4 linked regions of the Macaca mulatta genome follow. The main gene of each other region encodes a partner of the protein of the gene in region 4 in a complex. Links are inferred from orthologs where the notes say so. Each region holds a gene or a part of one and is shown on either strand. Other genes may lie near its edges. The genes, in order: ODAD4, CLXN, ODAD3 and ODAD1.

Region 1 (7,647 bases), on a different chromosome or scaffold from region 4:
ATGCTGTGGGATGGGATATTGTCATTGAGTGGGGTAAGGGTGATTAGGTTTTAACGGGATGGTAAGGGGTGCATGATCGGTTGCCAAGGAGGGAGTAGAGGTGTCCTATACTTGTGGATTAAGGTGGGGAGATAAAGGGGAGGATGTGAAGGGGGCTTTGAACTGGGGAAAAGGGCAGCAATGAGGTGTGGCTATAGCCTAGGAATAGTCAGGGAAGCAGATAATTTAGTTAAAATGTCTTGACCTAATAGGGGAGCTGGGCAGGTGGGGATAACTAAAAAGGAGTGTGTAAAAGAATGTTGTCCAAGTTGGCACCGGGGAGTTTTAAGGGGTCTAGAAGCCTGGCCGTCAATATCCACAACAGTTATGGAGGCAAAGGAAATAGGCCCTTGAAAAGAAGGTAATGTGGAGTAGGTAGCCTCTGTATGGATTAAGAAGGGGATGGACTTACCCTCCACTGTAAGAGTTACCCAAAGCTTGGCATCCATGATGGTCCAGGGGGCCTCCGAGGTGATTGGGCAGTGTTAGTCTTTAGCTGCTAAGCTGAGGAGATCTGGGAAGGAGTCAGCCAAGGAACGTTGGGTTTGGGCTCCAGGGGCTTTAGGAGCGGCGGCAGTGTGAGTCGGACAGTCCGACCTCCAGTGGGGGCCTGCACAGACATGGCTTAGGAGGAATCCCAGGCTGTGGGCATTCTGAGGCCCAGTGGCCAGGCTTTTGGCATTTGAAGCAAGGTCCACGAGGATGTTTTGAAGGAGCCCCTAGGAGCTGTGGCTTGTATGTTCTGAAGTTCTTGTACGCTGGAGACGTGGTTGTGGGTTGTCTTACGGTGGAGGCAAGTAGCTGTAGCTCAGAAATGTGTTGTTGTCTGGCTTCCTCCTCTCTATTATTGTACACCTTGAAGGCGAGGTTGATTAATTCCTGTTGCAGGGTTTGAGGGCCGGATTTCAATTTTTGAAGCTTTTTTCTAATGTCAGGAGCTGACTGGGTGATAAAATGGATATTAAGAATAAGGTGTAGGCTGGGCACGGTGGCTCATGCCTGTAATCCCAGCACTTTGGGAGGCTGAGGCAGGTGGATCACGAGGTCAGGAGATCGAGACCATCCTGGCTAACACGGTGAAACGCTGTCTCTACTAAAAATACAAAAAATTAGCCGGGCGTGGTGGCGGGCGCCTGTAGTCCCAGCTACTCGGGAGGCTGAGGCAGGAGAATGGCGTGAACCTGGGAGGTGGAGCTTGCAGTGAGCCAAGATCGTGCCACTGCACTCCAGCCTGGGCAACAGAGCAGGACTCTGTCTCAAAATAATAATAATAATAATAATAATAAGGTGGCCTTCTGGCCCCTCTGGGTCTAGGGCAGTAAAGGGTCTAAGAGTTACTGCTAAGCAGGCCATGAACTGGGCTAGGTTTTTATATTTGATGAAAAAGAGCCTAAACGCTAACTGATTTGGGAGAGGTGGGAAAAAGAAAAAGGAACATTAACCTTGACTGTGCCTGTAGCTCTAGCCACCTTTTTAAGAGGAAATTGTTGGGCAGGTGGGGGAGGGCTAGTAGTGGAACGAAACTGTAAGGGGGACCAGGTGTGAGGAGGGGAGGTGATAAAAGGATTATAGGGTGGGGGAGCGGAGGCTGAGGAAAAATTGGGACCTGGAGAGGAGCAGCCTGGGGAGGAGAGGTCAGATGGGTCTGTAGAAAAGAAAGATTCAAAAGACTCAGTGACGCTTGGGGTTGGGACTGAAGGGACAGGCGGGAGGCAAAGGAGGAGGATGTGGGACAAGTCGCATTGGGAACAGGGACTAGGGAGGGACCGATGTGTAAAAGAATGCCTGGACGTCAGGCACCTCAGATCGTTTGTCCATTTTTCGACAAAAATCATCCAGGTCTTGCAAAATGGAGAAATCAAAAGTGCCATTTTCTGGCTATTTAGAACCACTATGGGCAACTTTCCGCCCTCCATTCCCCCATTACAGAGTTTGTATTGGGGCCAAGCGGTGTTGCAGAAGAAAATAAGATGCTTAGGTTTTAGGTCAGGCGAGAGTTGAAGAGGTTTTAAGTTTTTAAGAACACAGGCTAAGGGAGATGGGGGAATGGAGGGCGGAAAGTTGCCCATAGTGAAGGAGGTAAGTTTAAAGAGAAAGGTAGAGACACAGAGAAGGGGTGTAGGGAGCAGCCCTGGGCTGCAATGTGGGTGAGCAGCCAAAGCAAGCATCCCCGCAATTGACTTGTCACCAAGGGAATGTGGGTGAATGACCAAGGCAGGCGTCCCTGCGGTGATCAGACACCAATGGAATGTGGGTGAATAATCAATCAGGCATCCCCGCAGTGATTAAAAACCAAGGGAAGACTGTCTTCCCAAGTCCGTGCTCAGCGCCGGAGTTTTGGGTCCACGGATGAAATGTGTCTCATCCTTGCCAGGCTGGACATTGTCCCTCCAACTGAAACCCTGAGTTTCTGAGGCCAGGGATCCTGTCTTTGCCTTCGTTCCTATTTCCACAGTGCCTAGAACAGCTGATTTTCTAGTGAATGGCTTATTTTGCTTCTTCCCTACAGTGACCTTCCTGATGCAAAATCCAGAGCCCTTGACAACATTGGCAGAGTTTTTGCCAGAGTTGGGAAATTCCAGCAAGCCATTGACACGTGAGTGACCAAGAATTGCCTCTCCCCCACCTCCATGGTTAGAACTTCTCATCCTAACATGAAAATTTGTTTCCAGTGATAAGAATCCAGCCTGGGCGGCCGGGCGTGGTGGCTCAAGCCTGTAATCCCAGCACTTTGGGAGGCCGAGATGGGCGGATCACGAGGTCAGGAGATCGAGACCATCCTGGCTAACACGGTGAAACCCCGTCTCTACTAAAAAATACAAAAAACTAGCCGGGCGAGGTGGTGGGCACCTGTAGTCCCAGCTACTCGGGAGGCTGAGGCAGGAGAATGGCGTAAACCTGGGAGGCGGAGCTTGCAGTGAGCTGAGATCCGGCCACTGCACTCCAGCCTGGGCGACAGAGCGAGACTCCGTCTCAAAAATAAAAAAAGAATCCAGCCTGGGCAACATAGGAAGACTCCCTCTCTACAAAAAAAAAAAAAAAAAAAAAAATTAGCCGGGCATACTGTCCTGTGCCTGTGGTCCCAGCTACTTGGGAGGCTGAGGTGGGAGGATTACATGAGCCTGGGAGGTTGAGGCTGCAGTGAGACATGATCACACTACTGCACTCCAGCCTAGACCACATGTTACCAGTGGAAGATATCCCAAGTTATTGGCAGTGAATCTGTACAGGTCTACAACAACCTCAATTCTTGCCTCCTCAGAAGAAAGACTTTGAATGAGGAGTGGAAGTTTATTAAAAAGCTAGGCCGGGGCCGGGCCCTGTGGCTCACGCCTGTAATCCCAGCACTTTGGGAGGCTGAGGTGGGCAGACCATGAGGTCAACAGATCGAGACCATCCTAGTCAATATGGTGAAACCCCGTCTCTACTAAAAATACAAAATTTAGCTGGGCGTGGTGGTACGTGCCTGTAATCCCAGCTGCTCAGGAGGCTGAGGCAGGAGAATCACTTAAACCTGGGGAGGCAGAGGTTGCAGGGAGCCGAGATTGCACCATTGCACTCCAGCCTGGGTGACAGAGTGAGACTCCATCAAAAAAAAAAAAAAGGCTGGGCACGGTGGCTCACGCCTATAATCCCAGCACTTTGGGAGGCAGAGATGGGCAGATCACGAGGTCAGGAGATCGAGACTATCCTGGCTAACACATCACCGTGCCTGGCTAATTTTTGTAATTTTTTGTAGAGATGAGGTTTTGCCATGTTGCCCAGGCTCGAACTCCTTGGCTTAAGCAGTCCACCCGCCTTGGCTTCCCAAAGTGCTGGGGTTACAGGAATGAGCCACCATACTTGATAATATTCTTAAACATTATTTGTGTTGTGTGTATGTGTGTGTGTGTTGAGATGGGGTCTTGCTCTGTCACCCAGTCTTGGAGTGAAGTGGCATAGTCTTGGCTTACTGCAACCTCCACCTCCCAGGTTCAAGTTATTCTTCTGCCTCAGCCTCCTGAGTAGTTGGGGCTACAGGCGCCTGCCACTATGCCTGGCTAATTTTTGTATTTTTAGTAGAGAGATGGTTTTTCCATGTTGGCTAGGCTGGTTTCGATCTCCTGACCTCAGATGATCTGCCCACTTCAGCATCACAAAGTGCTAGAGACATGAGCCACCACGCCAGCCTCAACTGTTGTATTAAATTCCACGTTCCATAGATGTTACCAAAATAGTCTCAGTAGTCTTAAAATATTGTTATGCTTATGAACTCCACCCTTGTATCTAAAAGAACTGGTAGTTGGAGAACAAGTTTTATTCCGTCACCCAGCAGGAAGCCTTGGCATCCTGTGGCCTAGTGCATGGTTTTGGGGGATGAAGCTGGCCCTTGTTCTTCATGTCCCCAGGTGGGAAGAAAAGATCCCTCTGGCAAAAACCACCCTGGAGAAGACCTGGCTGTTCCATGAGATTGGCCGCTGCTACTTGGAGCTGGACCAGGCCTGGCAGGCCCAGAATTATGGCGAGAAGTCCCAGCAGTGTGCCGAGGAGGAAGGGGACATTGAGTGGCAACTGAATGCCAGTGTTCTGGTGGCCCAGGCACAAGGTATGGGCTCAGAGATGACCACCCTACCTTTCCCAGCCTTCAGGCCCAGCTCACACCAGGGCTAGGAGTCCTGTGGACTGAGTTTACCATCCCAGTGTTTTTCCTTCCCAGATTGTTCTGAGAGTGGGGATAAGCCACCCCATTTTGACCAGCACGTGGTGAGTGCCTACATTAAGCAAAGCTTGGTTAGAGCTTGGGGCACCTTGAGCCTACCTCTGCCCTTGAGGAGCTCAGCTGCACACCCACACAGCATGTCGTCCTCACAACAGAGCCCATGTATTGAGCCACTTTCCTTCTGCCTTGGTACTTTTTTTTTGTTTTGTTTTGTTTTGTTTTCGAGATGGAGTTTCGCTGCTGTTGCCCAGGATGGAGTGCAGTGGTGTGATCTCGGCTCACTGCAACCTCCGCCACCCAGGTTCAAGTGATTCTCCGGCCTCAGGCTCCCGAGTAGCTGGGATTACAGGCGTCTGCCACCACGCCTGGCTAATATTTTGTGTTTTTAGTAGAGACAGGGTTTCACCATGTTGGCTAGGCTGGTCTCAAACTCTTGACCTCAGGTGATCCAACTGCCTCGGCCTCCCAAAGTGCTAGGATTACAGGCATGAGCCACCGTGCCTGGCCCTGTTTTGTTTTTTGAGACGAAGTCTCGCTATGTCACCCAGGCTAGAGTGCAGTGGCTTGATCTTGGCTCACTGCAACCTCGGCCTCCTGGGTTCAAGTAATTCTCCTGCTTCAGCCTCCAGAGTAGCTGGGATTACAGGCACACACCACCATGACTGGCTAATTTTTGTATTTTTAATAGAGATGGGGTTTCACCACGTTGGTCAGGCTGTTCTCGAACTCCTGATATCAGGTGATCCATCCGCCTCAGCTTTCCAAAGTGCTGGGATTATAGGCATGAGCCATCACACCCAGCCAGCATTCTTGTATTGAATCATTATGATGTAGGCATTATAATCATCTTCATTTTAGAGATAGGGAAACTGAGGCACAGAGAGGTTCAGTAGACTCTCCAAGCCCCATGAGGGAACCTTTTTTTTTTTTTGTCACCCAGGCTGGAGTGCAGTGGCGTGATCTTAGCTCACTGCAACCTCTGCATCCTGGTGTCAAGTGATTGTCCTGTCACATTGAGATAACTTTAAATTACATATTCAGTTAAAAATCAGGCTGGGGCCAGGCGCGGTGGCTCACGCATGTAATCCCAGCACTTTGGGAGGCCCGGCCTCAACTCTGTAAATTTTCTTTTTTTTTTTTTTTAATTTTTTTTTTTTTAGACGGAGTCTCGCTCTGTCGCCCAGGCTGGAGTGCAGTGGCCAGATCTCAGCTCACTGCAAGCTCCACCTCCCGGGTTCCCGCCATTCTCCTGCCTCAGCCTCCCGAGTAGCTGGGACCACAGGCGCCGCCACCTCGCCCGGCTAATTTTTTGTGTTTTTAGTAGAGATGGGGTTTCGCCGTGTTAGCCAGGATGGTCTCGATCTCCTGACCTTGTGATCCGCCCGTCTCGGCCTCCCAAAGTGCTGGGATTACAGGCTTGAGCCACCGCGCCCGGCCAACTCTGTAAATTTTCTAAAAATCATTGAACTTTATCCTTACTAGCTGCTGAACTTTATTTATTTATTTTTTTGAGAAGGAGTCTCACTCTGTCGCCCAGACTGCAGTGCAGTGTCACGATCTTGGCTCATTGCAACCTCCGCCTCCCAGGGTCAAGTGATTTTCCTGTCACATTGAGATAACTTTAAATTACATATTCAGTTAAAAATTAGACTGGGGCCCTGTGCGGTGGCTCACACATGTAATCCCAGCACTTTGGGAGGCCAAGGCAGGTAGATCACCTGAGGTCAGGGGTTTGGTACCAGTCTGACCAACAAGATGAAACCTCATCTCTACTAAAAATACAAAAATTAGCTGGGTGTGGTGGCACACACCTGTGGTCCAAGCTACTCAGGAGGCTGAGGCAGGAGAACTGCTTGAACCTGGGAGGCAGAGGTTGCAGTGAGCCCAGATTGTGCCACTGCACTCCAGTCTGGGTGAAAGAACGAGATTCTGTCTCAAAAAAAAAAAAAAAAAAAAATTATCCTGGCCACAGTGACTCACACTTGTAATCCTGGCACTTTGGGAGGCCAAGGTGGGAGGATCGGTTGAGCCCAGGAGTTTGATACCAGCCTGGGCAACATAGGGAGATCTCATCTTTATAAAAAATAAAGCAACATAAAGAGACTGCATCTCTACAAAAAATAAAAAATTAGGGCCAGGCACGGTGGCCCATGCCTGTAATCCCAGCACTTTGGGAGGCCGAGGTGGGCAGATCACAAGGTCAGGAGTTCAAGACCAGCCTGGCCAACATAGTGAAACCCCATCTCTACTAAAAATCCAAAAAAATAGCTGGGCGTGGTGGTGCACGCCTGTAATCCCAGCTACTCGGGAGGCTGAGGCAGGAGAGTTGCTTGAACCTGGGAGGTGGAGGTTGCAGTGAGCTGAGATCACGCCACTATACTCCAGTCCAGGCGACTGTGAAAAAAAAAAAAAAAATTAGCTGAGTGTGGTGGCAGGCACCTGTGATCCCAAATATTTGGGAGGCTGAGGTGGAAGGATCGCCTGAGCCCAGGTTGAGACTGCAGTGAGCTATGATCATACCACTGCATTCCAGCCTGGGATACAGAGCGAGACCCTGACCCTCACTCAAAAAAAAAAAAAAAAAAAAAAAAAAGAGAGAAAGAATGAAAGAATAGTCCTGAATGAGTTACGCTCTTGAATAAGCATGTGACTCCTCTGCAGACCTTTAATGTCAGAGTCCCACTGGTCTTGGAAGGAATACTGTGACTCCATATATTTTCAGAATTACATTTAAATTTTCTTTCAAGTGTAATAGCCTTCTTTTTTTTTTCTTTTTTGAGATAGAGTCTTGCTTTGTCAGATAGAGTCAGATTTTAGTGCAGTGTCACATCCCTGCATTCATGGCTCACTGCAGCCTCAACCTCCCAGGCTCCAGTGATTCTCTCTCCTCAGTGTCCCAAGTCGCTGGG
Region 2 (8,148 bases), on a different chromosome or scaffold from region 4:
ACAATTCAAGTAAAATCTGTCAAATGCTTAATACATAAATGTATATGTACATAATTAGCATGTGTAGTAATGCCTATGGAGTCTTCATTGGCATAAATTACTCCTTGGAATCACTTGAATTTTTTTTTTTATTAACTTTCTTTCATATTTTATTGACTTGAATTCATTCCATAAAATAGGCCGGTGGGATTCAAACCAACTAGCCAGCCAACCAACAAACTCACTTTACTGTCTGGGTTGAAGGACACTGATTTAAGTGCTTTAGATATGTTATTCATAAAGTACAAACCAATAGGATAATCTGCAATCTTACATTTCATTTTTTCTTCCAAAGATCCTCGAAGAAACAGTGATAATCCATGAATCCACTCCAATACATTTACACAGCCATCATTATCTTTATCAAAACCTCGGAATACTAAAGGGAAAGAGGTTAAATGGAACACCTGTCCTGCATGATAATTCTCAGTAAAGAATCTACATTGGCATCACTCACTTTTAAAATTAAGAGAACACTTCAGTTTGTACAGTCCAATATTCTCTTCTCATTTGATGAAAGAGGAAACTAAGACATCATAATATCATGAAACTGTTTTATTAAACATTCAATTTTTAAAATGTTTTTGTGGGAACAAATACAATTCTCAATGTCTAAGTATATTGATCATTAATTAATAATAAGTATGTTGCTATAAAATAAGTTGATCATATTAATTAGATATGTTAAATATACTAATATAAATAAAATACTTTATATTTTTGTTACTCAAGTCATTACTTGATGCATAGAATTATATCTTGTCACGGAAATATTTTCTGTGATGGAAAGAATTTAAATGTCCTTTTAAAACTACTCTATTACGTTTATTAAGTAGAAATCGAAATGTTTTAGGTTTTCTGATATAAGGTAAGAGAAAGGTAGTTAGTCAACATGACTTTGTCTTCTTAAATACACAAAATAAAGCTGATATTACCTCCTTTTCTGTGATCTTTTCAAAATTAAATTTGTATATTCCAATGACACTGGGAATGCAAAACACTAAGCTTCCTACCAAGAGGATATCCAAGCACCAAACCTTTTTTTTTCCCAGTTATGGCTGGATTTGGCTAATTTGAATCTTGCGTGTCTCTTACCTCTGTCCATAATCATGTCATCTGTCATTCCAAATGTCACATGCAGGATGTTTCGAAATGCATTACGATCCAGTCCAATAACCAGACCTTGCCTCTCTACTGCTCCCACCAAGCTATAAAAAAGCTTTATAAGACAGTTCACTTCAAATTTATTAACTGAAAGAATAAAATAGATATAACAAAAGTGAATCTTTAATCTTTAAGTTCTAACTTAAATTTTGCAATAAGTTTACTGACAAACAACATCAAAGACATCAAATAGGTAATTGTCAATAGAAGACTCTCCTGTTTTGAGATTAATGACCCTTAACTTAATAGAAATTAAAGAAGTAGCATACCCTCCAAACAGGAATTCTCATGTTTAGGGAAAAAATATGAAAATGTTAGCCAAGTTACTGGAATAATGATAGTGGTGTCAGATTCTAAACTCTACAAGGCTGGTAGATATATGACTCAAAATAAGAATGGTAAGATTAAAAAATGGTAACTTTTTCTCAATATTTTTACTATGGCATTCATGAGATTTACAACTTCTTTTCCCTGGAAATAGATGTCAGGTTCATGAGAACTAGGTAACGATTTTCATTTCACTTTAGGCTTCATGAATTCATAAGCCAGATTTTGGAAACTAGAGTCACCAGTTTTCCAATAAAAAGCTTTAAAGCATATTTTAGCACCCAATATGGCTCTTCTTGAGGATTATGTAAAAATTGACATGCAAGTATTCAGTAATAGTTTGGAGGAAGGACATTTTTATTTAAAGGATATATACACACACTGATACTTGCTCATACACATTATTGTATAAAGGACCATGGTTATAAATACCGAGTTAATTATTTGTGTTCCAATCCCCATTTGAGAATGTAGGTGGAAGGGTTATTGCCTGGTCTTGATAATATAAAAGCCCAAATACCAAGTATGGGAGGAAGTTGGGGAAAATTTATTTAGAAACCAGACAAAACTATGATTGAGCATTTTAACAAACAAGGACAAAACCTGCATGTGTATAACAGAAGACAGCATCTAGGAATGGAAAAATCACACCTCATCCTAGAGGTCAGTACAGGCTTTTGTGAGATATCTGGTTTGGAGAACCACATTTAAAGAGAAACACTAAAAACTTTGGGAAAAAAGATTCAGCAAATAAACAGTAGGAAACAATATAATGGTTATGATTTTAAAAACAGCTGTTAGTCACTGGAAAGCAGTATGATGGCGCTTCATAAAAATTAAACACAATTATCGTATGATCCAGGAACTCTACTTCTAAATACATACTCAGAAGAACTGAAAGCAGGAACCTGCACAACAATGTTCATAGTGTCATTATTCACAACAGTCAAAAGACAGATGCAAGAGTCCATCAATGGAGGAATGGATAGACAAAATGTGGCGTATTCATACAACGAAGTATTATTCAGCCTTAAAAAGGAAGAAAATTCTGACACATAGATGAACATTTATGGACATTGCACTAAGTCAAATAAGCCAGGCACGAAAGGACACATATTGTATGATTCCTCATATATGAGGTACTTAGTCAGATTTATAGAGACAAAGTAAAATGGTAGTTGCCAGGGGCTAGGATGAGGAGGGAATGGTGAGTTAATATTTAATGGGTAGAGTTTCCACTGGGGACGATGAAAAAGTTCTGGAGGAGGATGTAAGCACTTAAAATGGTTAAAATAGTAAATTTCATGTTACATGTAACCGCATATACACACACACAAACCTCTTAAAAAGCAAGAGCTATTAGTGGTTGGGGAAGAAAAACCTGCATGAAGAATGATGTACTCTGTTCATGTATATAAAATGGTAGTAGAGGGGATGTTGGTTAGCCATTTTTCCATCTCAGCTGAAATAAAAATTTTAAAAAGTTAGTTTAATTTATTACCCAAAGGATCAAAGGTTAGCCATAAGAAAACTTTTATTGCTAAACATTTCTTAAATTCTAGAATACAATATTAAATGAAACTGAAGAAAATTCAAGAACAGATTTTCATCTTCTTGGAATGCTCTAAATGTGTCCTGCAGAACATATCTGTAGAATGGTGCATGAACTAGATGCTCTCTTAAGATCTTTCACTCTTCTTTGATTCTACAAAATTTATCCATTGACTCTTGATAGTTTTATTGTCTTGCAACTAAAACAAAATTTAACTTTAGGGGAAAGTTCCTTCTGTTAAAGAAAATTTAAAATTATTATAATACCCATGACTTATAACTATTTCTATAGACTGTAATAATCATCTAAGTTTGTAAGACTCATTAAAATTTTTTTAGTAAATAAAAAAATCAAGAGTAGACTTTTTCCTGCCATATTTTTAATTATCTTTAAAAATATACACTCACCTTTTGATTGTTTACAGAATGATTGTTTGCAATGCATTCAAACTTACTGAACAGAGACTAACTCAAATTCAAACTTATGGAAAGGGACAAAATCAGTATTGTGTATAGCAGCTATTGCATTGTTTTTGAATATTTATCAAAAATGTTTACTAGATGTTTACTAGAAGAATACCTATTCTTCTCCCAGAAATGAAAGTGTTTTAAGAAAAACAATAACAGAACAAAACTCTCATCAGAGTATAGTAGTCATAATAATACCTTAAATTACAGGATTTTTTTTCCTAGACATTTTAAGATGCTTACACATACCATAACATTCATTTACGTCACCATCCCACTAAGAGAGCATTTCTTACCAGGTATTAAATCAGACACTAATGATAATTAGAATGCACTAGATCTTATGATCTCTAAAACTACATCAACATGTTTATTCCTTCTTCTTTGAGCAATGCAGATATTTGGGGAATTGTTGCTTCTGTTTCTTCAAGTGACCAGTAGATTTGCAATGAACATACAACTTCTAAGTTTGCTCGACAGGCAATATCTTCCTCATCTAAACCATACCCACGGTTTCCTTGCTCAAGTGCAATTATGTTTTTCAGTCTGAATATAAACTCAAAGTTTCCTATGAAATTCCAGTACCACCCTTTCAAATGCGAGATTAGAGCAGGTGCCTTCAAATAGGGCTCATCTTGTCACCTGCAAAGTCTCCTTTATCTTTCAACACTAGGGGCCACAGGAAAGTGGGAGTCTAAAGTTGGGAATCCATTCTTTTCCGCGTGTTTAGTTGTGCTGAACTCTGTTTTCCAAACAAATCTTGTTCTGAGGCACAGATGAGATGACACAACTAACATCTCCTAAAGATGTTGAGAAGTTGAGCACCGTTTTCTCCTATGGGTCTCTTGGTAAGCTTCCAGAACTTGTACCTGCGAGTGTATATGCGAGCTAGAAAGCAGGGTGAGTGCACGTTGGTGGTGGTACTTTTCTTGAGACCAGTGGGTTTTAGCATTTATTTTACACCTCACTGAGGCTAACATCACGTTTCTATCAGGTAAAATAAGAGGCTTGGAGAAGCAAGTAAATGCATGTGTGGGAGTGTAGGTAGCACTAGAGGTGGAGGCCTGGGTTCCTAAGATCAAACCCAAGGAGCTAGCACCCCGGGGATTCACCCACTGACTTACGCCTAAGGGGCCGGAGTGGAGGGGCGGTAGGTAGCCCACACAAGCCCAGGAGGCCGGAAGCAGGCAGAACAGCGGACCCTGGCACCGGGTGGGACCCAGGTTCGGTCCAGGAGCCTCGACTTGTCCAGCACTAGATTCTTACTTACAATGCTTGCAATTTTTAGCTAAGGTGTCTGTCAGCTTCTGCAGCTTCTTGCGGTTCATGCCTGGCCCTCAGAGAATCGGGCCGCGGCGGGGGTCTCGGGGCGCACGGCTGCCGAGACTCTCCCGGGACCCCCGCGAGCCCTGGTGCTGGGGCAACGCGGTGAGGTCTCAGTCACTGATAGCGTGCGCTGCCCTAACAGACGGTGTAGCCAAGGCAACGGCTCGATCCGCCGCGGATTGGCTCCCAGGCTGCCCGCGACGTGGCCATGGCAACAACTGAGCTCCGCCCATCGGCTCAACGGCGGCGTGCTCTAGGTCCTGCGTGCGCGGTGCTGCCTGCAGGGTCCCAGCTGGCCGCCTTGAGGGCTGTATTCTGATTGTGGACGTTGGAGTTTAAATGTTCAGTTGTTGCTGGCTTTTGAGTTCGCAACCTTTTTGCTTGATTGCAGTGTAAATCATTAAAATCTGAAATGTGGTGTGCACGCTGTATGAGAGATGTTTCGGGTGGTGAGCGTCACGCGTCAAAGGGAAGCCTAAGATCTTGGACATCCTGGGGGCTGGAGCAGCGTCACAAAACAGCAAGGGTGCTGTCCAGAGGACTGTCTCGCCGGGCCTCCTGTCGTAGGGCGAGGAGCTTGCTCTTTGGGCGGAGCCACGCTTAGGCTGTCAGTCTTGGTGCGGTAACAGGAGGCAGTTTGTCACCTGAGGTCTTCAAGCTTTTAGTTGTGTTTCTGAGAGCAAAGGGAAATTGGAATACAGCCACGGGTTGTCTAAGGATGGAGATGCGTTCTGAGGTCACGAGGAGATTTCATCAGTGTGTGCACATCACGGTGCACCGACACAAACCTAGATGGCCTCGCCTACTGCACGCCGGGCTGTATGGTACAGCCCATTGCTTCTGGGCTGCACACCTGCACAGCAGGTCACTGCGCGGAATGCTGCAGGCAGCTAGGACAGAGTGCTAAGCACTCTGGGGAAGGAGCAGTGTTCCAGTACAGTGTTATATCTTATGGGACCACTGTCCTAATGTTGTCTGACATTGACTTAAATGGCGCTATGTGGCTTGTGACTGTAGTTTTTTTTTCTTTTCCCACTGCCCTCATCTCACTCTCAAAAGGTGGAAGTTGTCTGTGGAATCTGAATAAAGTCACTAGGAATTTTTATACTGCTTAAATAGGCATTCCCCCCAATGAAAACAGGGGCTGACAACTACCACTTGGGTGTGGGATACAGCCCAATCTTGCTTTTCTGGAAAATATCTCAGTAACCTTGGTCCTTGACTTATTTGAAAGACAGGTTCTGTGTCTGCAGACAAAGGATAGTCCTTACATCTTCAGTGTGGGAGGACTTTCTGCTTTTCCTGACCACAGAGGGGATACCTCCCTTTCAGCTAAGGCAGCAACAAAAAGGGGTGGCTCAGCCAGGAGCACCAAATCTACAGTATTCTCCAGAGTGCCTGCTTGTTTAACTTCAGAGGGGAAAATGACAAACTATGTTATTGTACACATACTGGCATTTTTAGACTGAAGCAGAAAAATTCTACTAACCATGAATAATAATCCCAAATGAAATAATTCCAATGTCAGGGTCTCTGGTTTCTCTTTACTGTTTCATTTGTTTTTGGAATGAAGGATTGGGATGCTGTTTGAAACTAGAGCAAAGGGTGCTTGGTAAAGGCATGGACTGTATTTTATCCTAAAGCAAATGACCTAACAACAGCTACCTGATATGAATTGATGGTGATTATGAGTTTGTAACAGTAGCCTTTTTAAATAGTGTTTCTACATATCCCCTTGTCTAGAAGAGTGAAATTCCTGAAACCATAGAGAACAAAAGGGAAAGACTGGACATATTTGAATTATACTTACCTGTGACACCTTATTGATTTCTGTTAGATCACAGAGCTGTAGCAAATACTTAATTCCTAGAGATTGCTGCACTGCTCACTTCAAGAGACAAGGTACTGAAAGAGTGGTTGTCAGTAATTACTAAGAGGCACTGTGGGCTCCCTGTCTGATGTACTAGGCCTGTGTTGGGGAGCAGGCCTGCGCTGCTGGTGAGCACATTGGTGGTTATTTCTGGGGGCCTGGGGAGATCGCACACACTGGGTGCTTGCTACAGCTGAGCGAATTAGTTATTCCTTCACGAGTTTCAGGCCCAGAGCCCATCAACCATATTCTCTTAAAGTTAAAACAATAATAAAAAGATGTAGGGGTAATATCACAGATTGTTGAAATTAAAATGCGCCAGGTCAAAACTTCTTAACCTGTTGAGCAAACTTTTTAAGCCACCTCCTCCTTTTCCACTTCTTTCCTCCTCCAGTTCTTTCTTCCATGCTGTTCTTTTAGCCAAAAACATCTCTGTATCTCTATGTCTATCTATCTATCCATACAAATGCATTGTTTTGTGAATCTCACTTATCTAAGAGAGTGGTTTGCAGAGTTGACCTTATAATAAGGTCTTACCATCTTTTTCAGGGAAAGTACAGTGTTTATTTGGGGTATGTTTTGTCAACATATGGGTAAACTTCAGAGCTTTCATTACATTCTTGTGAAGTTTTGGAACTTAATATTTTTAGACTTTAAAAAAAGTTGCAGGCCTGATTGAGTCAGTGAATAACATTTCAAAGCAAGTTGAAGTTTCTATTTGTAGTTTTAGTTGCTTATGCTGAGTAGACACAGGACTGCTTTCCACTAAGGGCTTTCTCAGAGTAAGGCAATTAAGCCTAAGAGGCTACTTCATATTAAATCAATCAATAATGGAATAATAAAGGATTGTGTTTAATTTGTATTGGACATAAATTTTACTGTGCATGAAATGATCATATAACTTTCCAAAAGTCCAAGGAACCTCAAGGTGAATAACTTTGTAAACACAGAAGTACATTAAAGTGACTATTAATGCTATGTTTCCTTTAGTTTTGTGTGCAAAACAATCTTCCCTTTGACTCAGCATTCACTGGATTGTTGCCATGATAAACAGCTTGGACCTTGACTTGATGAAATTGTTTTCCTTAATGTGGACCTTTTATGATGAAGGCCCTTGGAAACTGTTGAGGAAATGACATCATAGAATTGATCTCCAAGTATATCACAAATCTATTATAAAATTGCTTGAATAAAAGGAAAATAGAAAGGTTAGTTACCTGCATAATACAAATTCAACTTTACTACTTTTATTTGTGGAGACAGTGATACAAAAGTCAGAGTTACTCATGTGACCAGTTGTTTGGGTGGTAGAATCTCCAAATCTCCACCACTTGTCACTCTCTCCTTTGCTCTAAGGTTGTGGTGACAAGCTAGAGTCTCTGTATTCAGACCATAGAACACTG
Region 3 (7,647 bases), about 49 Mb from region 4:
GTTCTACAAATTTAAAACAAAAATTTTTTTCTCTTTTCTTTTCTTTTTTCTTTTTGATGAAGTCTTGCTCTGTCGCCCAGGCTGGAGTACTGTGGGGCAATCTCGGCACACTGCAACCTCCTCCTCCTGGGTTCACGCCATTCTCCTCCTCAGCCTCCCAAGTAGCTGAGATTACAGGCTCCCACCAGCACACCTGGCTAATTTTTGTTTTGTTTTGAAAAGAAGTTTCGCTCTGTTGCCCAGGCTGAAGTGTACTGGCACGATCTTGGCTCACTGCAACCTCCGTCTCCCAGGTTGAAGCAATTCTCCTGTCTCAGCCTCCCAAGTAGCTGGGATTACAGGCATGTGCCACCACACCCGGCTAATTTTTGTATTTTGGGTAGAGACAGGGTTTCACCATGTTGGCCAGGCTGGTCTCGAATGCCTGACTTCAGGTGATCCACCTGCCTCGGCCTCCCAAAGTGCTGGGATTACAGACGTGAGCCACCTCACCCGGCTGACTTCTGGCCATTTTTTTCTTTTAAAAAAATTGTTTAGGCTAGGCGCGGTGGCTAACACCTGTAATCCCAGGACCTTGGGAGGTCAAGGCAGGCAGATCATGAGGTCAGGAGATCGAGAACATCCTGGCTAACATGGTGAAACCCGATCTCTACTAAAAATACAAAAAATTAGCCGGGCGTGGTGGCAGGCACCTGTAGTCCCAGCTACTTGGGAGGCTGAGGCAGGAGAATGGTGTGAACCTGGCGGGGGAGCTTGCAGTGAGCCGAGATCATGCCCCTGCACTCCAGCCTGGGCGACAGAGTGAGACTCCGTCTCAAAAAAAACCAAAAAACAAACAAAAAAATTTATACAGGCAGGGTCTCGCTATGTTGCCCAGGCTGGTATCGAATTCCTGGGCCCAAACCATCCTCCTTCCTGGGCCTCCCAAAGTGCTGAGACTACACGCATGAGCCACTGTACCCAGCCCAGTTTTATTTTGTTTTGTTTTTTGAGATGGGGTCTTACCCTGTCACTCAGGCTGGAGTGCAGTGACTCGATCTTGGCTCACTGCAACCTCTGCCCCTTGAGCTAAAGTGATCCTTCTTCCTCAGCATCCTCAGTAGCTGGGACCACAGACACATGCCACAACGCCTGGCTACGTTTTTGTAGTTTTGGTAGAGACAGGGTTTCATCATGTTGCCCAGACTGGTCATGAAATTCTGAGCTCAAGTGGTCCACCCACTTAGGCCTCCCAAAGTGCTGGGATTACAGGCGTGAGCCACCATGCCCAGCCTTTTAATTTTAAAAATTATTTTTTGAGGCCAGGCGCGGTGGCTCAAGCCTGTAATCCCAGTACTTTGGGAGGCCGAGACGGGCGGATCACGAGGTCAGGAGATCGAGACCATCCTGGCTAACACGGTGAAACCCCGTCTCTACTAAAAATACAAAAAACTAGCCAGGCGAGGTGGCGGGCACCTGTAGTCACAGTTACTCCGGAGGCTGAGGCAGGAGAATGGCATAAACCCAGGAGGCGGAGCTTGCAGTGAGCTGAGATCCGGCCACTGCACTCCAGCCTGGGCGACAGAGCGAGACTCCGTCTCAAATTAAAAATAAAAAAAAAAAATTATTTTTTGAGACAAGGCCTTGCTTTGTCACCCAGACTGGAGTGCAGTGGCATGAACATGGCTCACTACAGCCTCGACCTCCCCAGTTCAAGTGATCCTCCCACCTCAGCCTGGCAAGTAGCTGGGACTAGAGTCCTGCGCCACCACATTTGGCTAATCTTTTGTATTTGTTGTAGAGTCAAAGTTTCACTATGTTGCCAGGCTGGTCTCGAACTCTTGGGCTCAAGCAATCCTCCAGCCTTGGCCTCCCAAAGCACTGGCATTACAAGCATGAGCCACCATGCCTAGACTGTGTTTTATTTTTTATTATTTATTTATTTATTTATTTTGAGACAGAGTTTTGGTCCTGTTGCCCAGGCTGGAGTGCAGTGGATGATCTCAGCTCACCACAACCTCCACCTCCTGGGTTCAAGTGATTCTCCTGCCTCAGCCTCCCGAGTAGCTGGGATTACAGGCATGCACCACCATGCCCAGCTAATTTTTTGTATTTTTAATAGAGACGGGGTTTTGCTATGTTGACCAGGCTGGTCTCGAACACCCAACCTCAGGTGATCCGCCCACCTCGGCCTCCCAAAGTTCTGGGATTACAGGCACGAGCCACCACGCCTGGCCTTTATTTTGATTTTTTATCTTTTGTTTCTGTTTTTTTGTTTGTTTTTGTTTTTTTGAGACGGAGTCTCATGCTGTTTCCAGGCTAGACTGCAGTGGCACCAATCTCAGCTCACCGCAAGCTCCGCCTCCTGGGTTCAAGCCATTCTCCTGCCTCAGCCTCCTGCGTAGCTGGGACTACAGGCACCCGCCACCACGTCCTGCTAATTTTTTGTATTTTTAGTACAGACAGGGTTTAGCCAGGATGGTCTCGATCTCCTGACCTCGTGATCTGCCCGCCTCAGCTTCCCAAAGTGCTGGGATTACAGGCGTGAGCCGCTGCACCCGGCCTTTTTTTTCTTCTTCTTTTTTTTTTTTTAAAGAAACAGGTTGTACTGTCACTCAGGCTAGAGTGCAGTGGTGTAATCGTGGCTCGTTACAGTCTCAGACTTTTAGGCTCATGCAATCCTTCGGCCTCAGCCTCCCGAGTAGCTGGGATTACACACATGTGCCACTGGTCGGTCATTGTTTTGTTTTTTTTTTTTTGAGACGGAGTCTCACGTCTGTCGCCCAGGCTGGAGCACAGTGGCACAACCTCAGCTCACTGCAGCCTCTGCCCCCGGGGTTCAAGTGACTTAAAAAAAATTTTTTTTTAATTTTATTTATTTATTTATTTTTTGAGATGGAATTTCGCTCTTGTTGCCCAGACTGGAGTGTAATGGCGTGATCTCAGCTCACTGCAACCTCCACCTCCCAGGTTGAAGCGATTCTCCTGCCTCAGCCTCCTGAGTAGCTGGGATTACAAATGCGCGCCACCGCACCCAGCTAAGTTTTGTATTTTCAGTAGAGACGGGGGTTTCTCCATGTTGGTCTCGAACTCCCGACTTCAGGTGATCTGCCTGCCTCGGCCTCCCAAAGTGCTGTGATTACAGACGTGAGCCACTGCACCCGGCTGTGATTTTTTTTTTTTAAACCTGTTTTCCCTATTAGGATACGAGCTGCTTTTAGAAGTGGAGACTTGGTCTGCTTTTTCACTGCATTTACTACCATGCCAGGATGCCAGATACAAGGACAGTTAGTAATAAAGATTTAATTGAATGAGCATACGAATGGCAGCTACTGTGCAGGAAGGATTGGAGAGGTGAGCCTGGAGTTCATAGGTGAGGGGACCCAGGCTGGAAATGAAGGAGGAGGTGGAGTGAGGGTGGGCAAACCTGGCCTGTCCTGTTCTTCAGGTATGGCTTCTCCCACTTCCATTCGTGAATCACTGCCTGGACAACTTTCTCATCTCCCTGCAAGGAGGGAAGTCCAGTCACCTTTCAGCATGCCTCTTCCCCCTGAGGCCAGGTGCTACCTCCTTGCTCCCCCCATCCCTGCCACAGGAACCCTCCACCCACCCCTGCGCCCCTTACCTTGAGCAGGTCCAGCAGCTTTAGTTCCAGTGCCTTAGTCTCCTCGCGGAGCTGACTGATGGTCTCCTGGTTCTTCTTAATGTTCCACTGAGAGCTCTCAAAAAAAGCCTTCCGGTCACCCTCTGGCAGGCAGGGGAAGTGGACAGACACACAGTTACTGGGAGGGTGGCTGGGTGGGTGCAATATCCCAGAGGGAAGACCTTTTTTGCAATCATCAACTTTTTTTCTTTGAAACAGAGTTTCGCTCTTGTTGCCCAGGCTGGAGTGCAATGGTGCAATCTCGGCTCATCACAGCCTCTGCCTCCCGGGTTCAAGAGATTCTCCTGCCTCAGCCTCCCAAGTAGCTGGGATTACAGGCATGTGCCACCACACCTGGCTAATTTTGTATTTTTAGTAGAGACGGGGTTTCACCATGTTGGTCAGGCTGGTCTCGAACTCCCGACCTCAGGTGATCTGCCCGCCTCGGGCTCCCAAAGTGCTGCGATCACAGGCGTGAGCCACCGCGCCTGGCCTCATCAACTTAATATTGTAAGAATGCAATCGTCGATCAGCCTGAGCCTGGCCAACGTGGTAAAACCCCGTCTCTACTAGAAATACAAAAATTAGCCAGGTGTGAGGCTGGGCACAATGGCTCTTTCCTGTAATCCCAGCACTTTGGGAGGTAGAGGTGGGCGGATCACCTGAGGTCATCCGCCTGAGTTCAAGACCAGCCTGGCCAACATGGTGAAACCCCGCGTCTACAAAAATTAGCTGGGCATGATGGCAGGTGACTGTAATCCCAGCTACGGGAGGCTGAGGCACGAGAATCACTTGACCTCCGGAGGTGGAGGCTGCAGTGAGCCGAGATCCTGCCACTGCACTCCAGCCTGGGCAACAGAGCAAGACTCCATCTCAAAACAAACAAACAAACAAACAAAAAAAACCCCTGTCCCTGGGTATACTCAGATAATTGGTTCCAGGATCCGAGTATACCAAAATCCTTCCATACTCAAGTCCTACAGTCAGCCCTGTGGAAACTGCAGATACAAACGGTTGTCCCTCTGTATACTCAAGTTTTGCATCCCATGACTGTTGTATTTTCTTTTCTTTTCTTTTTTGGGACTGGGTCTTGCTCTGTCACCCAGGCTGAAGTGCAGTGGTGCTATCATTGCTCACTGAAGCCTCAACCTCCTGGGCTCAAGCAGTCCTCCTGCCTCAGCCTCCCAAGTAGCTAGGACTAGAGGCATGTGCTACCACATCCAGCTACTTTATTTTTTGTAGAGTCAAGGGTCTATGTTGCCCAGGCTGGTCTCGAACTCCTGGCCTCTAGCAATCCTTCTGCCTCAGCCTCCCAAAGTGCTAGGATTACAGGCATGAACCACCACACCCGGCCTGCCCATCTCAATTTTTTTAAACTTGAAAGGATGAATGATATACATGAACACATGGTGTTCAAGGATCAACTGTACTTCACTTTGAGCATTTATTATGTTTTGGATGTTGGACTAAGAGGTTTCCAAATGCCATATATCATGTGCCAATAGGTATCCATATGCATAGGCATATCATACGCCTTGCACAGATGAGAAGACAGAGGCTTGGGCTGATTAAATTGCTTAAGGTCACAAGCAATCATGCAAGATTACCCTTTTTTTTTTTTTTTTTTTTTTTTGAGATGGAGTCTCACGCTGTTGCCCAGGCTGGAGTGCAGTGGCGCGATCTCGGCTCACTGCAAGCTCCGCCTCCCGGGTTCCCGCCATTCTCCTGCCTCAGCCTCCTGAGTAGCTGGGACTACAGGCGCCCGCCACCGTGCCCGGCTAATTTTTTGTATTTTTAGTAGAGACGGGGTTTCACTGTGGTCTCGATCTCCTGACCTTGTGATCCGCCCGCCTCGGCCTCCCAAAGTGCTGGGATTACAGGCTTGAGCCACCGCGCCCGGTCTTTTTTTTTTTTTTTTTTTGAGACGGAGTCTCGCTCTGTCGCCCAGGCTGGAGTGCAGTGGCCGGATCTCAGCTCACTGCAAGCTCCGCCTCCCGGGTTTATGCCATTCTCCTTTCTCAGCCTCCTGAGTAGCTGGGACTACAGGCGCCCGCCACCTTGCCCGGCTAGTTTTTTGTATTTTTTAGTAGAGGCGGGGTTTCACCGTGTTAGCCAGGATGGTCTCGATCTCCTGACCTCGTGATCCGCCCGTCTCGGCCTCCCAAAGTGCTGGGATTACAGGCTTGAGCCACCGCACCCAGCCTTTTTTTTTTTTTTTGAGATGGAGTCTCGCTCTGTCGCCCAGGCTGTAGTGCAGTGGTGCGATCTCGGCTCACTGCAGGCTCCGCCTCCCGGGTTCACACCATTCTCCTGCCTCAGCCTCCTCAGCAGCTGGGACTACAGGCGCACGCCGCCACGCCCCACTAATTTTTGTATTTTTAGTAGAGATGGGGTTTCACTGTGTTAGCCAGGATGGTCTCGATCTCCTGACCTCGTGATCCGCCCGCCTCGGCCTCCCAAAGTGCTGGGATTACAGGCGTGAACCACCTCGCCCAGCCATGATTACCTCTTAATAATATCAACAAAAACAATAATAATGGCTTATACACAAGGATTCTGCAACCTCAGGATGACCAACTGGGCCGAATAATTATTTGCTGTGGGGAGCTCTCCTGTGTTTTGTAGCATGTTGGGCAGCACCTTCACCTCTGCCCGCTAGATGCCAGTGGAAGACACACACCCACAACAGACATGCCTGCCACCACGCCTGGCTAATTTTTCGTATTTTTAGTAGAGACGGAGTTTCACCGTGTTGGCCATGCTGGTCTCAATGTCTTAGGACATTGCCAAATGGCCACTGTGGGGCAAACTAACCCTTTTCTAACAAGAACCATTGGTTTACACCTTATGGTACTTTGCTATGTGCCAGGCACTGTTCTAAGTACTTAACACAATTGAGGTACCTATGTTGTACCGTTACTATCCCCATTTCACACATGGAGAAACTGAGAACAATTAGGTTACTCTTAGTCCCCCAAGGCTGACAACTATTATGCAGAGTCAGGATTCCAACCCAGAAAATCTGGCTCTAAAATCTATGCTCAGGCCAGGTGCGGTGGCCCATGCCTATAATCCCAGCACTTTGGGAAGCTGAGGAGGAAGGATTGCTCAAACCCAGGAGTTCGAGACCAGCCTGGGCAGCATAGTGAGACCCCATCTCTACAAAAAGTAAGAAAATTAGCCAAGCACAGTGACATATGCCTGTAGTCCCAGCTACTCAGGAGGCTGAGGTGGAAGGCTCGCTTGAGCCCAGCTATTATCGAACCACCGCACTCCAGCCTGAACAGCATAGCAAGAACCTGTCAGAAAGAAAGAAGGCTGGGGGTAGTGGCTCACACATGTAATCCCAGCACTTTGGGAGGCCAAGGCCGGTGGATCACTTGAGATCAGGAGTTCGAGACCAGCCTGGCCAACATAGTGAAATCCTGTCTCCACTAAAAATATAAAAATTAGGTGTGGTGGCATGCACCTGTAGTCCCAGCTAGTCAGGAGGCTGAGGCAGGAGAATTACTTGAACCTGGGAGGCAGAGATTGCAGTGAGCCGAGATCACGCCACTGCTCTCCAGCCTAGGCAACAAAGCAAGACCCTGTCTAAAAAAAAAGAAAAAAAAAAAAAAGGCCGGGTGCAGTGGCTCACACCTGTAATCCTAGCCAGCACTTTGGGAAGCTGAGGTGGGCGGATCACGAAGTCAAGAGATTGAGACCACCCTGGCCAATATGGTGAAACCCCTTTGTACTAAAAACACAAAAATTAGCTGGGCATGGTGGCGCGTGCCTGTAGTCCCAGTTACTCTGGAGGCTGAGGCAGGAGAATTGCTTGAACCTGGGAGGTGGAGGTTGCAGTGAGACCAGATCGTTCCACTGCACTCCTGCCTGGCAACAGAGTGAGATTTCTGCCAAAAAAAAAAGAGAGAGAGAGAGAAAATAAATTACAGGAAAGTATGAAGTACAGTTCATTCGGTTCTGAACTCATGAGAAGTTTTGAGAGAGAGAGGATGAAAAACATGAATCAAGTATGAGTTTTT
Region 4 (7,647 bases):
TTTTGAGACAGTGTCTGGCTCTGTCACCCAGGCTATAGTGCCGTGGTGTGATCTCGGCTCACTGCAACCTCCACCTCCCGGGTTCAAGCGATTCTCCTGCCTCAGCCTCCCGAGTAGCTTGGACTACAGGTGCTCGGCACTACGCCTGGCTGATTTTTGTATTTTTAGTAGAGACGGGGTTTCACCATCTTGGCCAGGCGGGTCTTGAACTCCTGAGCTCATGATCTACCCGCTGTGCCTCCCAAGGTGCTGGGATTACAGGCATGAGCCATTGCACCCCACTGGTCCTGTTCTCTTCCTTGGGCATGTAAATTAACCTCTACTGACCCCATCTAGCACATAAGAATGCATCTAGTGGCCAGACGCGGTGGCTCACGCCTGTAATCCCCACACTGTGGGAGGCCAAGGCAGGCAGATTGCTTGAGCTCAGGAGTTCAAGACCAGCCTGGCCAACATGGTGAAATCCCATCTCTACCAAAAATATAAAAACTTAGCTGGGCATGGTGGCGGTGGCGAGTGTCTGTGGTCCCAGCTACTTGGGAGGCTGAGGTGGGAGGATTGCTTGAGGCCTGGGGTCAGAGGTTGCAGTGAGCCGAGATTGCACCACTGCATTCCAGCCTGGGCAACAGAGTAAGACTCTGTCTCAGAAAGAAAAAAAAAAAAAAAAAAAAAGTGCATCTAGCACATATATAGTGCAGCAGGGTTCCTGGAAGCATCTGGCGAATTTGTTATTTGTCAGCATTGGTTGCAAGGGACAGAGATTCTCTCGGGCCACCTTCAGATAGAGACACGCTGTAAGGAGTTGAAGAGCTGAAGCTGCTTTAGGTGCTGGCTTCTCTCTCCTTCTCTGGGGCTCTCATGAGCTCCAGGCTCTCTCTCTCACTCCATCCCTGCCTCTTTCTCAGCTTCGCCCTCTTCTCCTCTTGCTCCAAACGCTTCCTTACCTTCTACTGAGTTCTTCTCTGGCTTCTGTTTTCTCACGGTCCCTGATCGACATCAGTTGTGGCCTGGGTCTGCCTTAGGGTCTCTGTGATTTCTCTCTTTCTCTCTCTCTGTTAAAATAAACATGGCAAAATTCACCATTTTCAAGTACAGAATTTAGCAGCATTTAGTCCATTCACAGGGTCGTGCAACCGCACCACTTCTGTCTAGATCTGAAATATTTCCATCACTCCAAAAGGAAACTGCACCTGCCACCGGGAAGTGCAGGAATCCTCGCTTCTTAGTCTTACTTGGGAGAAAAAATTCTGCCTAGAGACTGATTTAATCAACAAAGAGACTTTACTGAAGGCAAATAGAGAACAGAGAGTTTACACAGAGAGACAGTACACTCTGAAGGATGAGGAGAGCAGGCTGCTGAAAGAACGTGAGCCAGCAGCACACTGAGAGTTTTGTGTTGGGTTTTTAATATGATGTCGGACTCTTTTGAAGTTCTTGCCTCCGTCTTTTTTTTTTTTTTTTTTTTTTTTTTTGAGACAGAGTTTCGCTCTTGCCACCCAAGCTAGAGTGCAGTGGTGCGATCTCGGCTCACTGCAATCTTCACCTCCCAGGTTCAAGCGATTCTCTCGCTTCAGCCTCCTGAGTAATTGGGATTACAGGCATGCACCACCAGGTCTGGCTAATTTTTGTATTTTTAGTAGAGATGGGGTTTCACCATGTTGGCCAGGCTGGTCTCAAACTCCTGACCGCAGGTGATCCTCCTGCCTCCCAGATTGCTGGGATTACAGACTGAGCCACCGTGCCCAGCCAGTTCTCTGCTTTTGTGACCACAGGATAACTGCAACCTGATTCAGCCCCATTCCTGTGACCCCAGGCTGGCCCTGCCCATCTGGGACACCAGCTGACTCCACCCCACCCCCACAACCTCTGGCTGACCCCGCCCATCCCCAGGATCCCAGGCCGACCCCAGCCCAGCCTCCAGTCATCCTGACCCCGGCTGACCCCCCCAGGGAGGAGGCGAAGGCCAAGATGGGCTTGCTGCGGGAGCGCGCGGAGAAGGAGGAGGCCCAGAGTGAGACGGAGGCGCAGGTGCTGCAGCGGCAGATCTCACACCTGGAGCAGCTGCACCGCTTCCTGAAGCTCAAAAACAACGACAGGCAGCCAGATTCCGATGTCCTGGAGAAGCGTGAAAAGCAGGGTGAGGCCGGGGCTACCGCCTTTGCATCTCGAGGGCCTGGCCGCCCCTGGGGCACCTGCAGCACTCCTTGGTGCCCCGGGCGGGACCACACTTTGCTCACCCTCGCCCAGGAGGTCTCTGTGCTGGAGGCCACCCAGGAGGCCGACCTGCTGTTCTCTCTTCCCCCAGCCCGGGAGGTGGCCGAGGGCGTCCGGAAGACCTCCCAGGAGAGGCTGGTGCTTCGCTACGAGGACGCCCTGAATAAACTGTCCCAGCTGATGGGGGAGAGCGACCCCGACTTGTTGGTGCAGAAGTATCTGGAGAGTGAGTGGGGCCCTGGGTGGGGGGAGGAGGCCCAGGGGCCCCGGCACCCCCTGAGTCCAGTGCAGGCTGGCTTCAGCTCTGGCTCTGGGGACTCCTCCACCTGCACTGGAGGAGCAAGGTGTCAGGCCTGGGACCCGCCACCCATGTCCACTGGCATCTTACTGTGGCCCTGTCTCTGCCTCTCCCCATCCCCTCCTCTCTCCTGGGCCTGGGGTCACTCTCCACATCCTTCCCTCAACCCCGTCCCTCTCTGTTTCTCTCCTTACCCATATCTACCGTTCTCCCTGCCTGCATCTCCCCGTCTCCCTTGCTGTTACCGAGTCTCTCCGGCTTTCCCTCTGCCTTGCTATGTGTTTCTGTGTCGCCCCTGCCGTGTCTTCCCACGCCTCTTGGTCTCTGTGATTCCTCTCTGTTCATCTCTCTGCCTTGGTCTCTGTGTGGCCTTCCTCATCCTCACTTTCTCTGGCCTTCTGTGTGCCTCTCTGTCTCTCTTCTCTCTGTATCTGTATCTCTGTCTTCCTCTCTCTGGGCCCCGCCTTGCCCAACTTTCCCAGTCGAGGAGCGCAACTTTGCTGAGTTCAACTTCATCAATGAGCAGAACTTGGAGCTGGAGCATGTGCAGGAAGAGATCAAGGAGGTGAGTGAGGCCTGCCCTCTCCATCTCCTCCTCTTCTCCCTGCCTCCCTGCCCCCTCCCCTCCCTCAGCCCCCCTCCTGCCTCTTCTTCCCAGCTCCACACCCCCCAGCTCCCGAGGCTGCCATCTGGCCCAACATTCAGCCCTGTCCCCACAGATGCAGGAGGCATTGGTGAGTGCACGTACCAGCAAGGATGACCGGCATTTGCTGCAGGAGCAGCAGCTGAATGCGTTGCAGCAGCGCATGGACAAGGTGCGCTTGGAGGCTGAGCGCCTTGAGGCCCGCTTCCAGGATGTGCGGGGACAGCTGGAGAAGCTCAAGGCTGGTGAGCACCCACGGGCGCCCCCTCCCAAGCCTGGCTTCTCCACTTGGAAGGACACCATTAGCCTGTGGGGCTTGGAGGCATTGCATGGACAACCTGGTTCACTTGCTTATTGGTTGCTCCATATCTGTCCATCTTTCCAACCAGGGTCTATCCCTCCAACTGTCTCATGTCCATCTATCCATCCAGCATCTGTCCCTCCAGCTGTCCTACACCCATCCATCCATCCATCCATCCATCCACCCATCCATCAGTGCATCCATCCATCCATCTAGGGTTGATCTCTCCAACTGTCCCATATCCATCCATCCATCCATCCATCCATCCAGAGACTGTCCCTCCAACTGTCCTATATCCATCATCCATCCGGGATTTATTCCCTCATCTGTCCTATATCTATCTCTCCATCCAGGGTCTATCCCTCCATCTGTCCCATATCCATCTATCTATCCAGGGTCTGTGCCTTCATCTGTTCTATATCTATCTATCCATCCAGGATCTACCCCTCCATCTGTCCTATATCCATCCATCCATCCATCCACCCAGGGTCTATGCCTCCAACTGTCCTTATCCATCATTCATCCAGGATCTATTCCTTCATCTGTCCCATATCTATCTATCCATCCAGGGTCTATCCCTCCATCTGTCCCATATCCATCTATCTATCGAGGGTCTATTCCTTCATCTGTTCCATATCTATCTATCCATCCAGGGTCTACCCCTCCATCTGTCCTATATCCATCTGTCCGTCCATCCATCCATCCATCCATCCATCCATCCATCCATCTATCCATCCATCCATCCATCCATCCATCCATCCATCCATCCATCCAGGATCTGTTCCTCCAACTGTCCCATGTCCGTCCATCCATGCAGGGTCTGTCCCTCCAACTGTCCCATGTCCGTCCATCCATCCATCCATCCATCCCTCCATCCATTGTCTATCCATCTGTCTGCCTCCAACAGCCCCACATCCATCTGTTCATCCATTTGTCTGCAATGACATTTGACTTTTGTCTTCCTAGTCTTAGTCTTAGTTACCAAATTTCTTCTTAGTCTTAGTTACCAAAAATGTTATTATTTGTAAAGAAAATGATGATAAAATATAATAGCAATGTTTATTATGTGTCATTCACTCTGCTAGGCACTTAGGCATTATTCCACTTGTTTCACAAAACACTGAAAAACAGATGCTGTCCCTCCCACTGTCCCATATCCGTCATCCACCCATCCATTCATCTATCCAGTATTCATCTATGGATCATCCGTGTACATCTGTCTGTCTATAAATGCCTAGCAATGGGACTGACGGGTCTTAGGGTAGGTATATGTTGATATTTATTGGAAAATGCCAAACAGTTTTCCAAACTGGTCGCAAGATTTTATGCCCTCACCTATGTGAGCATATGGGGGTCCCAGATGTTCCACACCTTCTCCACCGCTTCCTAGTGGCAGCCATTTTTTATTTTATTTTATTTTTGAGATGGAGTCTTGCTCTGTCACCAGGCTGGAGTGCAATGGTGTGATCTCGGCTCACTGCAACTTTCACCTCCTGGGTTCAAGCGATTCTCCTGCCTCAGCCTCTCGAGTAGCTGGGACTACAGGTGTGTGCCACCACGCCCAGCTAATTTTTGTATTTTTAGTAGAGTCAGGGTTTCACCATGTTGGCTAGGATGGTCTCGATCTCTTGACCTTGTGATCTGCCCGCCTCAGCCTCCCAAAGTGCTGGGATTACAAGCGTGAGCCACCGCGCCCGGCCATCGGCCATTTTAATATTAGCCATCTAACGTTTGTGCAGTACTATCTCTATTAATTTAATTGGCATTTCCCTAGTGACTAATAATATTGAGTATCATATTGGCCATTCGGATATCTTTGTGAAGTTCCTGTTCAATCTTGTGCACTCGTTTTTTTAAAAGTTGGGTTTTCTTGCTATAACTGAGTTGTAGGAGTTCTTTGTATATTCTAGACACTAGACTTTTGGTAAATATTTTCTCCTATACTGTAGCTTGCCTTTTCACTTTTTTTGGTGATGAACTGAAGTTTCTTAGTTTTGAGATCTAATTTATGAAATTTTCTTTTTGTAGTTAGTGACTTTGTGGCCTGCCTGAGAAATTTTTGCCTGTCCTGAGTTTACAAAGGCATTGTGCTGTGTTTTCTCCTAGAAGTTTCATTGTTTGAGCTCCCACATTGAAGTCTGTGACTTATGCCAAATTGATTTGCATGTATGGTATGAGGTAGGGGTCTAGAGTTTCCTTTTTAAAAAAATTTTTAGATTTTTTTCATTTATTTATTTTTTTGAGAGGAATTTTGCTCTTTTGCCCAGGCTGGAGTGCAGTGGCGCAATCTTGGCTCACTGCAACCTCTGCCACCCAGGTTCAAGCAATTCTGCCTCAGCCTCCCGAGTAGCTGGGATTATAGGTGCACACCACCACATCCAGCTAATTTTGGTATTTTTAGTAGAGATGAGGTTTCGCCATGTTGGCCAGGCTGGTCTCAAACTCCTGACCTCAGGTGATCCACCCGCCTCGGCCTTCCAAAGTGCTGGGATTACATGTATGAGCCACTGCACCTGGCCCTTCCCTTTTTTTTTTTAGAGATGGGATCTTACTATGTTGTCCAGGCTAGTCTTGAACTCCTGGATTCAAGTGCTCCTCCTGTCTTGGACTCCCAAAGTGCTGGGATTACAGGCATGAGCCACCACACCTGGCCGAGTTTCTTTTTTTTTTTTTTAGACAGAGTCTTGCTCTGTCGCCCAGGCTGGAGTGCAGTGGCCGGATCTCGGCTCACTGCAAGCTCCGCCTCCCGGGTTCACGCCATTCTCCTGCCTCAGCCTCCCAAGTAGCTGGGACTACAGGTGCCCGCCACCTCGCCCGGCTAGTTTTTTGTATTTTTTTTTAGTAGAGACGGGGTTTCACTGTGTTAGCCAGGATGGTCTTGATCTCCTGACCTCGTGATCTGCCCGTCTCGGCCTCCCAAAGTGCTGGGATTACAGGCTTGAGCCACCGCGCCTGGCCTCTTTTTTTTTTTTTTTTTATCCTTTCCGTGGGTATCAGTTGCATCCACCTGTGCATCCTCCCATCGTTCTCTTTTATTTCTATTATTATTATTATTATTATTTTTTAATTTGAGAGAGAGTCTCGCTCTGTCCCCCAGGTTGGAGTGCAGTGGCACCATCTCCATTCACTGCAACCTCCCCCTGCTGGGTTTAAGTGATTCTCCTGCCTTAGCCTCCTAGTAGCTGGGATTACAGGAGCACACCACCACGCCCAGCTAATTTTTGTATTTTTAGTGGAGAGTGGATTTTGCCATGTTGGCCAGGCTGGTCTCAAACTCCTGACTTTAGGTGATCCACCCACCTCGGTCTCCCAAAGTGCTGGGATTACAGGCGTGAGCCACCACACCTGGCCTCATCTTTCTTATTTTTCAGGAAGTAGCCATGCAGAGCACTCAGGAGTCAGGCTGTCCTGTTTTTTGTTTTTTGTTTTTTTGGTTTTTTTTTTTACATTTATTGTTAGCTTTTTTTATTTATTTATTTATTTATTTATTTATTTATTTATTTATTTGAGATGGAATCTCACTCTGTCAGCCAGGCTGGAGTGCAGTGGTGTGATCTCGGCTCACTGCAATGTCCGTCTCCTGGGTGCAAGCGATTCTCCTGCCTCTCGAGTGACTGGGATTACAGGCACGCACTACCATGCCCGGCTAGTTTTTTCGTATTTTTAGTAGAAACAGGGTTTCACCATGGTGGCCAGGCTGGTCTCAAACTCCTGATCTCAAATGATCTGCCTGCCTTGGCTTCCCAAAATGCTGGGATTACAGGCGTGAGCCACTGCACCCAGCCTGTCCTGGGTTTGAATCTCAGCTCCACCAATTATGAACCTTGGTGTGTGGCTTCCTCCTTGTGAGCCCCTCTGGGAATGGGGATGGCAGTGCCTTCTTTGCAGGGTTGTCATGAGAATTAGAAGGGATGACAGATGGAGAGAAAGGTGGGGGGTGGTGGGGAGCGATCTGGGGAGCCCCCTTGGGGCACACCGTAGGAGCTCAAATATGGGCAGGTCCTCCTTCCCGCTGTCGTGACGGCTGAGCCGAGCCCTGTGCTAGGTGATGTGGGCACAGTGGGGAGAGGCCCTGGAGGGGACTGACCTGAGCACTGGGCACTCATCACTCAGGGGCTAGGATGGAGGACACCCAGGCTCTGGGGGCGAGAGGAGGCCGTAACTCAGTCTGCAGTGCAAGACCATAATTTG

What was found.
Region 1: ODAD1 (region 4) and ODAD4 share a complex: the UniProt entries of both Homo sapiens proteins name them as parts of the outer dynein arm-docking complex. The link is inferred for Macaca mulatta from reciprocal best matches to the Homo sapiens genes ODAD1 and ODAD4.
Region 2: ODAD1 (region 4) and CLXN share a complex: the UniProt entries of both Homo sapiens proteins name them as parts of the outer dynein arm-docking complex. The link is inferred for Macaca mulatta from reciprocal best matches to the Homo sapiens genes ODAD1 and CLXN.
Region 3: the proteins of ODAD1 (region 4) and ODAD3 are in contact, whole or in part, in a cryo-EM structure (PDB 9CPB), measured with the Bos taurus proteins. The link is inferred for Macaca mulatta from reciprocal best matches to the Homo sapiens genes ODAD1 and ODAD3. Residues at the interface, in XP_024834988.1 of Bos taurus: Leu31, Gln32, Gln34, Cys35, Met38, Glu41, Arg42, Tyr45, Val49, Arg52, Ile53, Gln56, Leu57, Glu59, Ile60, Leu63, Glu64, Val66, Arg67, Leu70, Arg71, Gln73, Ile74, Ala77, Gln78, Asp86, Arg89, Leu90, Ser92, Met93; in NP_001095517.1 of Bos taurus: Gln69, Leu73, Lys76, Ile77, Leu79, Leu80, Asp83, Arg84, Phe87, Tyr88, Thr91, Asn94, Ile95, Asn98, Gln99, Thr101, Ile102, Leu105, Arg106, Glu108, Thr109, Leu112, Gln113, Gln115, Leu116, Leu119, Gly122, Asp123, Val126, Ala129.

The regions. Positions count from the first base shown.
Region 1 is NC_133421.1:66,283,694-66,291,340, forward strand, and holds part of ODAD4 (outer dynein arm-docking complex subunit 4), read left to right. Parts: intron 1-2,548; coding exon 2,549-2,635; intron 2,636-4,427; coding exon 4,428-4,624; intron 4,625-7,099; exon of another isoform or gene 7,100-7,132; intron 7,133-7,303; exon of another isoform or gene 7,304-7,586; intron 7,587-7,647. UniProt on the Homo sapiens protein: Component of the outer dynein arm-docking complex (ODA-DC) that mediates outer dynein arms (ODA) binding onto the doublet microtubule. Plays an essential role for the assembly of ODA-DC and for the docking of ODA in ciliary axoneme.
Region 2 is NC_133413.1:59,292,308-59,300,455, forward strand, and holds the start of CLXN (calaxin), read right to left. Parts: upstream 5,038-8,148; 5' UTR 4,878-5,037; coding exon 4,820-4,877; intron 1,291-4,819; coding exon 1,135-1,290; intron 419-1,134; coding exon 314-418; intron 1-313. UniProt on the Homo sapiens protein: Component of the outer dynein arm-docking complex (ODA-DC) that mediates outer dynein arms (ODA) binding onto the doublet microtubule. Seems to regulate the assembly of both ODAs and their axonemal docking complex onto ciliary microtubules.
Region 3 is NC_133424.1:12,160,874-12,168,520, forward strand, and holds part of ODAD3 (outer dynein arm-docking complex subunit 3), read right to left. Parts: intron 3,727-7,647; coding exon 3,605-3,726; intron 3,485-3,604; coding exon 3,407-3,484; intron 1-3,406. UniProt on the Homo sapiens protein: Component of the outer dynein arm-docking complex (ODA-DC) that mediates outer dynein arms (ODA) binding onto the doublet microtubule. Involved in mediating assembly of both ODAs and their axonemal docking complex onto ciliary microtubules.
Region 4 is NC_133424.1:60,755,874-60,763,520, reverse strand, and holds part of ODAD1 (outer dynein arm-docking complex subunit 1), read left to right. Parts: intron 1-1,949; coding exon 1,950-2,137; intron 2,138-2,305; coding exon 2,306-2,440; intron 2,441-2,994; coding exon 2,995-3,077; intron 3,078-3,231; coding exon 3,232-3,400; intron 3,401-7,647. UniProt on the Homo sapiens protein: Component of the outer dynein arm-docking complex (ODA-DC) that mediates outer dynein arms (ODA) binding onto the doublet microtubule. Involved in mediating assembly of both ODAs and their axonemal docking complex onto ciliary microtubules.